Drosophila melanogaster: one gene and its partners. The protein of the gene in region 1 interacts with the protein of each later gene in a pairwise test. Each region holds a gene or a part of one and is shown in the gene's direction. Other genes may lie near its edges. The genes, in order: Prosalpha7, CG33672 and CG4707.

Region 1 (3,382 bases):
ACGGATGCAAAGCCAGTAGCTCCGTTGTGCGTCATGGCCACGCAACCGATAGTGGACGTGTGGCAGTTGGCCTGTTGAGTCAGAGCCTCAAGCGAGCAATCTTTGTCGTGCTGAAGCCTCCAAAGCCGAACGCTGCAGTCCTTTCCCACCGAAATCAGCAGATTTTGGGATGCAGCAAGGGACATTACCGTATCCGAGTGACCCACGATCAGCTTGCAATTCATGTCGTGTTCCGTGTCGTACAGCTTGAAGTGCTTGCTGTTGGTGGCAACGGCCAGGTAGCGATCGTGTTCGCCCATAAAGCACATGTCTAGGATCTCGTCGTTGTAACCCACCAAGTGTTTAATGGGTTCCAGGGTTTCAACGTCGTAGACCAAAATATTCTGCTCTGTAGTGACCAGGGCCAGCTGTTTTAGCTCGCTGCAGTGCAGCAGTCTACTAATTTGGAAATCAGATTGAGAAAGAATATCCCTGATCTTCCAAGATTTAGGGTCGACCTGTTGCAGCTTGCCCGATCCGCTCGCCACGATTATCAGTTGTCCCTCGTCTGCGTACACGACTCCCTCAAGCTCATCGTACAAGGGAAGAACCTTCAACTGCTTGCTTTCCAACTGCTCCTGCAATTGCCACACGATCATAACCTTGTCCCGGCTTACAGTCACGATTTCATTGCAGTCGGACGCGTTGCTCTTAAAGCTCAAGCCGGTGACTTGCGACAGGTGACCTCGCATCTTGTGCACAAGTGTCTTCGTCTCGTAGTTCCAGGCATAGACAGTGTTATCCGAACCTCCGGCGTAGATCTCTTTGCGCAGCACATTGGGATGAAAGACGAGGAGCCAAGCGGGACCAGGGAAATCCTTGAGGGCACCCAGACAGCTGTTGTTCGAGTAGTCCCACAGCCTCAGTGTGGCATCTGCACCGCCGCTGGTGCAGATAAGCCTGCCGCAGGGACTAAACTCAACTCGGATGACTGGTCCCTTGTGCTGCGCCTTCCACAGCTTCACCAGCTTCCCAGTGTCCAGCTGCCACAGCCTAAGCAGGCCACTTCGATGGGCAGTAACCAGATGCTCCTGTGACAGCCCGAAGCAAGTAATCGTATCCTCCTCCACATCGATATTGTCCAGCTCCGCCGGCCTCTTGTTATCCGCCGACGGGGAAGACAAGCCGTAGCTATTTAGGATTTGGGAGGTCTGCACATCCACCTGGTTTACAGCTGAGCCATTGAGGCAGTAAAGATGATGGCCATTCGGGCTCCAGGCGATGTCGCCGCCGGCGTAGAAGTTCGTGTAGCGGGCCTCCGCCGCATAGCTGGATTTTAAAATTGTTGTAGTCTTGCAATCATCAGGTAATTATTAAGTTTATGTTACCTTTTCTCGCTGATACCCGCCAGCATGATTTTCGTTGTTTATAAATACAAAAACCGCGTGCGCCGCGGATCAGAACATGAACGGAACTAGTTCGAAATGTTACTTTACAGAGCATGTAAGGGGATATTCGAAATGTATAAGTAGAAAAGAAAAGAATGATATTAACTTCAACTGTGCTAAATAAATAAAGTACCATGAATTGGTGATTTATTTTTAATCATTCGAATTTTATCTGAAAAAATCGCGATTGGTATACGATTGGTTTTTATTGACGATAGTCGTTCCGAAACTATCGAACCTCCTTGACCGATAGGCCCCTTTGTTTTGTCCACCACTAGCCAAGTAAAAGCCGTCAAATCATCGTCGCATTCGACCCAAGGAATTAAACTAATTTTTGCGTTTGAATTGTTTAAATTTTCACAAAGTCTTCGCTATGAGTACTATTGGCACTGGAGTAAGTGGTCAGCGAACTACATATCTGCAGATCCCTAACGTCACCCTCTCGCTTCCAGTACGACTTGTCGGCCTCGCAGTTTTCGCCTGATGGCCGCGTTTTCCAGATCGACTACGCCTCAAAGGCGGTGGAGAAGAGCGGCACCGTAATCGGGATTCGGGGCAAGGACGCCGTGGTGCTGGCCGTGGAGAAGATCATCACCAGTAAACTGTACGAACCAGACGCCGGCGGACGCATCTTCACCATCGAAAAGAACATCGGAATGGCGGTGGCCGGCTTGGTGGCCGATGGAAACTTTGTGGCTGACATTGCGCGTCAGGAGGCAGCCAACTACAGACAGCAATTTGAGCAGGCTATCCCGCTTAAACACCTGTGCCACCGAGTCGCCGGCTACGTTCACGCCTACACTCTGTACAGTGCCGTCCGCCCCTTCGGACTTTCCATCATTCTCGCCTCCTGGGACGAAGTAGAGGGGCCACAGCTCTACAAGATCGAGCCGTCCGGCTCCTCCTTCGGTTACTTCGCCTGCGCCAGCGGCAAGGCCAAGCAGCTGGCCAAGACTGAGATGGAGAAGCTCAAGATGGATATGAGGACCGACGAATTGGTGGAGAGCGCTGGTGAAATGTACGTTTACAGCAAAAAAAAGGGACTGTTTCAAAAATCGGGCGGGCTTTATCCTAGTTCCGAGTGGAAACTTACTTGCTCTGACAATAGGAAGCATTTTTGGGACATCTATTGCACTTAGAATCTAGGTTTTTATTCATAATTAACATATCTATCCTATGTCTTAGCATCTACAAAGTCCATGACGAGTTGAAGGACAAGGACTTCCGCTTCGAAATGGGTTTGGTGGGCAGGGTAACCGGTGGCCTACATCTCATAAATCCCTCAGAACTGACGGAGAAGGCGAGGAAAGCCGGCGATGCGGCCAACAAGGACGAAGACAGCGACAATGAGACGCACTAGTTCGTTTGTGTGCCAGTGAATCTAATTCTGGGCCTCATACATAATGTTAATTTTATATTTCCCTAAAGCGCAAAATGAATAAACAAAATCGGGTGAAATTTAAGGTTTTTATATTTTTATACTCTCATTCTTTAATAGTTATCGTTCGATATAAATATATTGGCTCGCTGGTTATCGGATCTGGTTCCTTTTGAATGTGCCTGCAGCTATTAAACCTCGATTGCTACAAAGAAAAACCTTATCGCTCACAGCTGATGCATTTCGCGCCATTTGTTGTACTTTATTTTGGTTTTAACGACGCACGACTGGAATTTCAGTCTATTGTTAATAACTACAATGACTACCTTAATAGAACAGTTAATTACGAAAATGGGCCTAAGGGAGGAGCCAAACGTGCTAGAGTAAGCGATAAATAAATAGTTTTAAAGGTTTACCCAGTAAGATCGAATCCTTTCAGGAAAACCACCGAACTAGTACGCCTCCTGGAACTGCGCTCCACGAATGTCCCTCTGCAGATCAACGAGTACGGAAAGATAGTGCTGTGTGCGGATCTCGCTTCCTGCATGATTGGGATCGCTTTCGACAAGGAGCAGGC
Region 2 (4,184 bases), 2.8 Mb from region 1:
TGGTCACCAATAAGGCAGACGGCTCTGAGGGAAGGACACCACTTTTTAAACTCATTTACCCAATTCTGAAGCGTTGACTTTGGCACGATGACGATGTGTGGTCCAGCTTGATTTCTGCACGCAAATATGGTATTTAGAGATTTCTTTAAAACAATAGATGTTTATGAAAACTCACTTGAAATGCTTGAGGTAACCCAGCAGAGATATGGTCTGCAGGGTCTTTCCTAGACCCATTTCATCGGCCAGAATTCCATTGATACCATTTTCGTAAAGCGAAATCATCCAGTTAAGACCGCGAATCTGGTAGTCACGCATCTCTCCACTTTTGATGTAGGCGGGTGAGGCATCGAAGCGAAAGATCTCCTTGGTGGCCGAGTCTTCCGCCAGCAACTCCTCATCCTCCTCCTGCTCTGTCTTGCGATGACGATGACTGTTTAATACAAAAGTACACCAATAGATAAAGTAGTTGGCTTTTTTATAGGGGGAGTTTAACTCACTCGGCCACATCCTTTTCCTTGTCCTTGTCTTTGATCTTCTTGGGTCTACCCTTAGGCTTCGTGGGACTCTTAGCGCTGTTAGTCATGAAGTGGGTGAATATCTCCGTCTGCTTTAGCAGGAAATCAAAGCGCCTACTGCGATCAGCCTCGATTTTGTTGTCGAACTCAGCCTCCTTTTCACCGGATGAACTGGTGGCCGCATCTGAAGTCGTCTCGTTCTGGCAGAGTTCAGAATATATGTATAGAAGTCCTTAGACAAAGCCTGCTGTATATTAACTTACCGAGTTCTCTTCGGTTGCCTCCACGGCAGCTGTATCTGTTTTGGACATATTTGCAATGCCGGCGTCTGTCTCTAAATGAACTTAATTTTTCCACAAATTTCCCCTCGCCAATCAAGCGTGCTGCACACTGGTGTCGTTTAATGTGAACTGAAAATCGAGTGTGCAACCTGTTAGTTATACTTTCAGTATATAAATAAAAGGCAATTTACACAAAACAATGTTTGTTTCGCTTAAACAAATTGTAAATAATTACATGCGATTTTTTTTAATGAATGGTGGGAAATCTGCGCGTGCTATCGCTAGATTATGCGATGAATGCGCGAAGTTGGCTGCGGCAGCGACGGTGGCGGCAAACAAATCGAGAATACGAACTATCGATAGTTTTGATGGATTACTATGAATGGCAGCACTGGCCGTGTGCCGTTATTATTAGTTTTAGACAAAGCCGTTATTCTGATTAATCAAATAGGTTATCTTTTTAAATTGTTTGCGTTTGTTTAAAAATTATTGCCTAATGTTTAAGTTTGAGATGATGGAATATAGCAGGAATCGAAAAGTCTAATGGGGTCTCATAATATTTTAGAAATAAGCCCTGTGGTGGAAACTGAATCTAAATATGACAATATGTACTACATCGTTTTAGACTTGAATGGCTGCCCCAAACTATATGAACAAAGACAAAATCTGTTAAATTACTTAGACAACCCCCATATTAAAGTATTTAATAGATATATCGCAAGAAACCCCCCGAAAAAGAACATTTAAAATGGTGCTAGGTGTGGCCAAGGTCAGCGCAGATAGAAAAACTACCACCCGGCTTATGGAAAACCTGTTTTTGCCTGAAGCCCAATACGGTCACACAACCACTCCATCACCTCGTTTCGTTTGAAAAAAAAACCATCCAAAATGAGTAAATACGACTCAAAGTACCTCGAGGAGAAGCTCAAACGGGAACTGCAGACGGAGTACGTGAGTGTTACGGACGAATCAGACGGCTGTGGCGGCAAGTTCAGCGCCGTAATCGTATCGCCAGCCTTCAGCGGCAAGACCCTTCTCCAGAAGCATAGATTAGTTAACTCAACGCTTGCCGAAGAACTGAAAGAAATCCATGCATTCTCCCAGAAATCCTACACACCCGAAGAGTGGGAGAAAGTGAAAGCCCAATAGTAGTACCGAATAAAAAAAAACCAACAACACACATACATATACACGAGCGATACAACAACAGCAAACACTAGCCGCAAAAACCTGTTGTTCGTTTTGCTGATGGTTGCGCTTTCCGATCGAAGAGACGAACAAGCCGAAAAACGCCAGTCGCACAAAGAAAGTGAAAGGGAAAGCACAGGAATCGGCAGCCAGAAATAGGAGTTACCGAATAAACAACGCAAATGATCCACTAAATGCATAAGTTACATAAAGAAATACAGCCATAAAAGTTTAACTACTTGTCGCAGGTCGTCCACTCGAAAGGCATTAGCATTACAATTCGAAACAGCTGATAAACCGATAAAGCCATAGCCAAACGGAATACAGAACACACAATACACGGAGATCATCAAGAACAATGCTCAAGTTCCAGGTCCATTCTCCGGGCAAGGTCATACTCCATGGCGAACACGCCGTGGTCTATCATCGTCCCGCCCTCGCCGCCGTAGTGGGTTTGGGCACTACTCTGAGATTTCGGCAGCTGGAGGACAGCCAGGTGGCAAGTTTTCAACTGGAGGCCCTTAACTGCACACTGGAGATCCAGTTGCCGGAGTTCAATGGATTTTTGGCTGAATTTAGGAGTAAATACCCATCAGATAGCACGGCCAATCTGTTGGAAGCCGTCCGCGCAGAGGTGTCCAAACAACTTGAACGATCCGGAGGCAATGCACCGAAGCAGCACACCCAGCGGGCATTCATCTCCATATACTATTTGCTGGCCGGCGCTGTACTCTCCGCACCCGGCGACAAGAAACTGACGCTGCAAACCGGTTTCCAGGTGCAGGTAGACAGCCAGCTAACCGTGGGTGCGGGTTTGGGCAGTTCCGCCTCTTTCGGAGCAGCTTTGGCCACGACATTTCTCATTTTGGCCGGACACTTTGATAGAGACAGCTACTTGTCGGAGGCAAACCAGGCGTTGATCTCGTCCTGGGCTTATGAATCGGAGCGTGTTAATCATGGCACGCCCTCGGGTCTGGACAACACTGTATGCACCTACGGCGGAATGTTGCGGTATGTCAAGGGCCAGGGCTTCCAGTCGCTGAAGATCCAGAAACCACTAAACATCCTGCTGGTGGACAGTCGTGTGAGTCGCAGCACCGCCGACATTGTGGCCAAGGTTCGTCATCTGGGAGATGCCTTTCCGCAGCTCATCGAGGCCATTTGGCAGGCTTGCGAGGAGCTTGTTGCCGCCGCCGTTCCACTCTACGAAAGCTTTGGCAACGCCCAAGACGATAGCTCGAAATTCGAGCAACTTGAACGCCTGTTCCAGATCAACAATGATCTGTTGAAGGCTATCGGAGTGTCGCACCCGAAACTGGAGCAAATCTTCACCATCGCTTTTAAGCGTGGCTTCTTTTCAAAGCTGACGGGCGCCGGCGCAGGTGGCTATGTCATCGTTCTGCTTCCAGAGAACTACGAGTGCAACGAGGTCTACTGGAAGCTTAAAGAGGAGCTCGAATCGGCGGGTTTTGGTGTTCATGTTACGACTGCCGGCGGCGAGGGATTGCGCGTTAGTTCGCTGGATGACTGATGCGGTTTCGTTTTGTATTGCTATTGTATGTATTCGTGGTTTTGTTATAAATTAAAGAATAAAGATTTATACATGTATTTTGTACGGCAATCTGTTTGTTTATCGTTGACTTCTGTCCCGAGATTTGTAGACAATTCCACGATTCTTCATGTCACGTAAGGTAGACTGCGGCAGTGTTCCGGATACAGAAATGGCATAGATACCACGAGTAAAGCGGGCTAAAGGAAAATGATTTCAAATATATCAGTAATACCCTTTTGGAACGGAAGTCATTCAGGCCTTACACAATCTTTGCCACTTGGCCACCCAGGAGTCGGTGGGCGTAGTTAGGGCAATAATTCCGTCAAAGTTGTTGCTAGTGTGATCATAGACATTGTCCTTGTTGTTTTTCATTCGCAGGAACTCCTCGCAGTTTTCACAGCCATCAGTCTCAAATTGATCAAAACTCTGCGGGCGATAAATGATTTCAATGAAAATGTGTGTCGAGTCTGGGCAAAATATAACCCACCTTCACTAGGGAGCAAACGAGGCAGGCGCGAAGTCCTCGCAGATCCTTGGGTATCGCGTCAAAGGCCATATTTACTTATCAATTATGGGTTTAAAACTAAAAATACAAAATCCGTGCAAAACCAAGCCACGACACTGACAGAGTGACCGTACTCTAAAATT
Region 3 (4,523 bases), about 15 Mb from region 1:
TACATCCTGGTCCTCCAACTCTGATTTACTGCTTCTTCAGCTCGCTGATCTCGTTGCGTATGTTGGCGCGGGCTAGCTCTTCGTACTTGTCGTGGTAGTCTCCAGTGGCGTAGATGGAGGGAATCATCAGCAGGGTCTCCAGCACCTTGATGCGCATGGCCTTGTAGGTGGCATCGTCGAGATTGGCGTACTCCGAGCGAAGGAGAGTTGTATAGTGCTTGTACTCCTCCGGCGAAGCACTTTAGTAGTGTAAATGGGTTTTGAAATACACGGACAATGATTGCACAAATACTCACGCTAGGACCACCAGGTCTACGTCCTGCAGCAAGTTGGCCTCGTCGTCATGGCACCAGGTCAACTGGTTCTCCGGGGTCTTGCGCCCCAGCAAATTACATACCAGGCTTTTTGCATGGTCCTGTTTAAGGTAGAGCACGCCGAATATAGAGGTTTAGTTACACCGCACGCCTACTCACATCCTCGATGACGGCATCATTGCAAAACTCCTCAAAGACCTCGCAGTTCTTCTCCGCACAGCTGCGGTTACCATCGAAGTGGTAGTACTGGAAGAAGGCGGCCAGCACAATGTTGGGATTGGCCACGCCCGCCAAGTGCGGCTCCTTGCGCCGCATCATCTCCTCCCAATTGTGGTAGGCGCGAGCGGGATCCTCGGAGCTCAGGTGCTGCTGAATGCGGGCGAACCACTCGTTGGCCACCTGCTCGGGCACATCGTGGTGCTCGCACACCTTCTTCCAGATCTTCTCCATACTTGGTGGGTTGTAGGTGATACTTTGGCCTCTTGGATTCGGACTTGCTGATTTCGGCAGCAGTGATTCAGTTGGCTGGAGCTGGTCTTTCTGGAACTTTTCACTATTCGATGGGAATGTGGGGTGCAGGGCGCTGGCGATTGCGCACTGCCCAAAGAAGCCCCTACCACCACTTGGTTACCACTCGCGGGAAAACAGAAACTGCGCGTGCCGCCGACGCGGGCTTGATATTGTCGCAAAAATGGATTTCATTTATAAAACAGGCAACTTACCACCGTGTCCTTAGGATAAGCGTCCCTTTGGGGATCCTCGGCCGCCAGCTGCAACAAGATATTTGAGGCCATTGCAGAGGCCGATCCGCGCTTGTGCCAAGGTTGCTTCTTCAGACTGGTCCCCGTGGGATCCTTGTTTTTATTGGTTTCGCTCATTCGGGGCAATCGCTTCTGAATAATGCATTAAATGGTTAAAACTCTGATCTTTATCGACTCAACAAAGCTATGGGAAACAGCTGATACCGCAATGTGCGTTATGTTTTGGTATTTTTTTCAAGCACGAGGCCCTTTCCACTGTGCGAGGGGGCAATCTAAAAGGCGTTAGGGTGTAACTACATTGTACAGTTAATATAAATTTCTTGCATTAATATATTAAATTATATAATTCGCCCAAAATTGAAATTGCTTTAATACAATACAAAGATCAGCACATCAAATTGTTTTTCAGTTTCACTAATGATTATTCTGCTTGTCTCGATACTATCGGCTCACCAGCTCTTCATGCACGCCCCTGTCAACCCTGCTTTGCTTTGGAAAACAAATTTTTGCAAAATCGTAAACAAAAACTTTGTGTGGAAATGAAGCAGGATTAGGACTCAGCCAGTGCATCCGGTTTCGTCATGACTGTCTGTGTGCTCTGCCTGGACAGTAGCAATGCTGGCTACGGCCTACAATCCGAGGAAGGCGTCCGTCTGAACATTAGGGCGACCATCCACAAGCACTTCGCGTTCTCCGAGGTAAGCTCTGCGCCATAATCGCAAGTTTTGGATAAACCAAACCGAACTCTTCGCCATCCACAGGTTCTTACGGCTGGCGGTGATGCTGAGGTCTGTCGGGAGTGCTGGAACTGCGTTAGCAGCTTCGAGGAGTTTCACCAGCGCGTCTCCTGCCTGCACCGGCAGCGGAGCAGCGATTCCAAAAGCGAACCCATCGAATTTTGCGGTCAGACAGAGGAGGCCATCATTAATCCGCTATATTCTGTGGAGTTGGACGCGTTGGCGGAGGCCTTTTTTGCGCCCAGTGAGGTCAAGGTGGAGGTGAACGAACTAGAACCCCTGCCCAAGGTGGAACTCTTGGAAGACCCAGTTAAAACGGAAATCAGAACAGCTCCGAAACGGTTGGGTGTCCCAAACGAAGGCTCACCACACTCGAAGCGGCGCATTAAAAACGAGCTGCCAGTGGATAGTGACTCGGATGCACCTCTGGCCGATTTTTTAAACTCGGATTCAAAGAGAAGTTCAGTTGGACCCGCAAAGAACAGCGAAGCGAACAAGGGACGCCAGCTACGAAGGAGCGCAAGAAGAGGACGGCCACCCAAAGCTAAGCCGGAATCGGCTCCTTCCCCAAAGAAGGAACTGGACTCCGAAGATGGCGAAGAAAATGCCAGGGATAACAATGACATGGAGTTCGTGGCTCCCGAGGCTGTCTTGGGCACTGACGACAGCTCCAGTTCCTCCAGTGAGAGCAGTGGAGAGGATTCCGACCACAGCCTGCCGGACATAGAGCCTGAGGAACGTTACGCTGAGATTCCCAAGCGGGTTGTGGTGAAACCTAAGAAGTACCGAAAAAGGGAAAAGCCACTGGTTCCACCCGTTCGTCTGAGTCGGGAGGAGATTGAACGGAGGAAGCTCCAGCAAGACGAGTACGATGAGATTATCCTGCAGTTCTTCAAAAAGTTTCCGTGCTCTCTGTGCAATCTGCTGGTGCAGAACTTTGCGGACATGCGACGCCATCAACGCGTTTCCCACAACATCGAATCTGGCTACATCGAATGCTGCGGGAGAAAGTTCCACCTGCGCAAGGCTTTGGCCGAGCACGTCTTGGTCCACAAGAACCCAGATCACTTTATGTGCTCTCAGTGCGGGCGGGTATTCCAGGACTCCCGCGCCCTGGAGGTCCACGAGCAGACACACACAAACCCGGAGGTCAAGGCGGAGCCGAAGGAGAAGCGGATCTACCAGTGCGAGAAGTGCCCCAAGAGCTTCACAACCAAGGCGGCCATGGAGTATCATGACGTTTCCAAGCATGTCCCGAAATCCGAGTTCAAATACTCTTGTCCGGAGTGCAACAAGAAGTAATTGTCCATCAGGTATGAGGCATATGAGCAACCCCCCAAGTAATCCCTTAATGCTTTCAGGATTCCTACGGAACGCAAACTGAAAGAGCACTTGCGTTACATGCACGACCCGGAAGCGGCCATCATCTGCGATAAGTGTGGCAAGACGCTACGTTCACAAACGAATCTCAAAAAGCATCACGAGCTTGAACATTCCGAGAAACCGCGTCCAAAACCCGATCCCGTGCAGTGCGAGATCTGCGGCACCTGGCTGCGCCACTTGTCCGGACTAAAGCAGCACATGAAAACGGTACACGAGCCGCCGGGCGACGAGCACCGCTGTCATATCTGCAACAAGACATCCACCAATTCCCGAGCCCTGAAGCGCCACATCTACCACAACCACCTCTGTGAGCGAAAGTTCAAGTGCGGGATGTGCGAAAAGGCATTTAAGCGTCCACAGGATCTGAGGGTAAGTGTGGGGCTCACTTACAGAGAAATCTAAGTATTCGACACCTAATTTACAGGAGCACACATCAACGCACACCGGAGAGGTGCTGTACACCTGTCCTAACTGCCCCATGACGTTCTTTTCCAACGCCAACATGTACAAGCACCGTCAGCGGCTCCACCGAGCCGAGTGGGAGGCGGATCGCAAGAAACCGCTCCCGCCGAACATCATGAAGATTTCGCAGGGCGCCACCACAGCGATGAAGAAGCGCCAGACCAGCGGCGCGCTGTTCCCACAGTCGGAACAGAAGCAATAGCATTTGTCCATTTACGACATCCATAGATAGTAGATAAATCGTCAACCATTATTATTAACTCGCACTTAACACAGATAAGTTAAGCCATAAATAAGTAGACGTGGACATATTTACATCGATTTATGGGGGCTGAATCTTATCTAGCTATCGTCCTGCGGTATCCGAATTTCCTCGCACATCCCCTCCTCCCGGTGAATGCTCGCCCAGTGCTGTGAGAGCTCCCGGCTGATGGCCTTGCGGAACACCATGCACGATATGTGCGGCAACTTCTCGAAGCGTACCCGTAGCAGTCCAATCCTGGCCAGGGAGTAGCGCCAGTTTTTCATGAGGTGGGCGTTTTTGCCAACATGTTGGGAGTCCGGTGTGATGAGCACAAGGATGCCCTCGGGCAGCAGCAGGTCGTAGGCCTGAAGGCAGCACTGTAGTCTCTGCTCGGCGCTGGGCATGTATTCCAGTAGCAAACTGAAAATGACGCACTCGTAGTGGCTTGCTGGTAGCCTTCTTACGCTGCCCTCCTCCAGCTCAGGTTCTCGTATTCCGGGTACCACCTCCACTTTGAGGAAATCCGCCTGCAGCACATCTTCGGTGGCGGGACACAAGTCCAGGGCGGTTACCTCCAAGTGCGGAGCACTGGAAAAGGGATTGAAGCAGCTGCCCACATCCA

What was found.
Region 2: the proteins of Prosalpha7 (region 1) and CG33672 interact in a two-hybrid assay, tested with the Drosophila melanogaster proteins (one large-scale study listed by BioGRID).
Region 3: the proteins of Prosalpha7 (region 1) and CG4707 interact in a two-hybrid assay, tested with the Drosophila melanogaster proteins (one large-scale study listed by BioGRID).

What each region holds. Positions count from the first base shown.
Region 1 is NT_033778.4:9,846,136-9,849,517, reverse strand, and holds Prosalpha7 (proteasome alpha7 subunit), read left to right. Parts: upstream 1-1,681; 5' UTR 1,682-1,800; coding exon 1,801-1,821; intron 1,822-1,879; coding exon 1,880-2,445; intron 2,446-2,612; coding exon 2,613-2,787; 3' UTR 2,788-2,882; downstream 2,883-3,382. Other genes in the region: CG1671 (uncharacterized protein), read right to left, coding at 1-1,308, 1,368-1,393; Orc6 (origin recognition complex subunit 6), read left to right, coding at 3,124-3,188, 3,245-3,382. UniProt on the Drosophila melanogaster protein: The proteasome is a multicatalytic proteinase complex which is characterized by its ability to cleave peptides with Arg, Phe, Tyr, Leu, and Glu adjacent to the leaving group at neutral or slightly basic pH.
Region 2 is NT_033778.4:12,633,585-12,637,768, reverse strand, and holds CG33672 (uncharacterized protein), read left to right. Parts: upstream 1-1,627; 5' UTR 1,628-1,684; coding exon 1,685-1,945; 3' UTR 1,946-2,342; coding exon of another isoform or gene 2,343-3,515; 3' UTR 3,516-3,603; downstream 3,604-4,184. Other genes in the region: Iswi (imitation SWI), read right to left, coding at 1-114, 176-430, 498-715, 779-826; Mvk (mevalonate kinase), read left to right, coding at 2,343-3,515; spt4, read right to left, coding at 3,615-3,733, 3,800-3,962, 4,024-4,092.
Region 3 is NT_033778.4:24,604,035-24,608,557, reverse strand, and holds CG4707 (uncharacterized protein), read left to right. Parts: upstream 1-1,534; 5' UTR 1,535-1,656; coding exon 1,657-1,773; intron 1,774-1,836; coding exon 1,837-3,110; intron 3,111-3,173; coding exon 3,174-3,564; intron 3,565-3,619; coding exon 3,620-3,859; 3' UTR 3,860-3,963; downstream 3,964-4,523. Other genes in the region: CG42361 (uncharacterized protein), read right to left, coding at 26-239, 297-415, 474-764; CG42360 (uncharacterized protein), read right to left, coding at 1,037-1,192; Samtor (S-adenosylmethionine sensor upstream of TORC1), read right to left, coding at 4,000-4,523.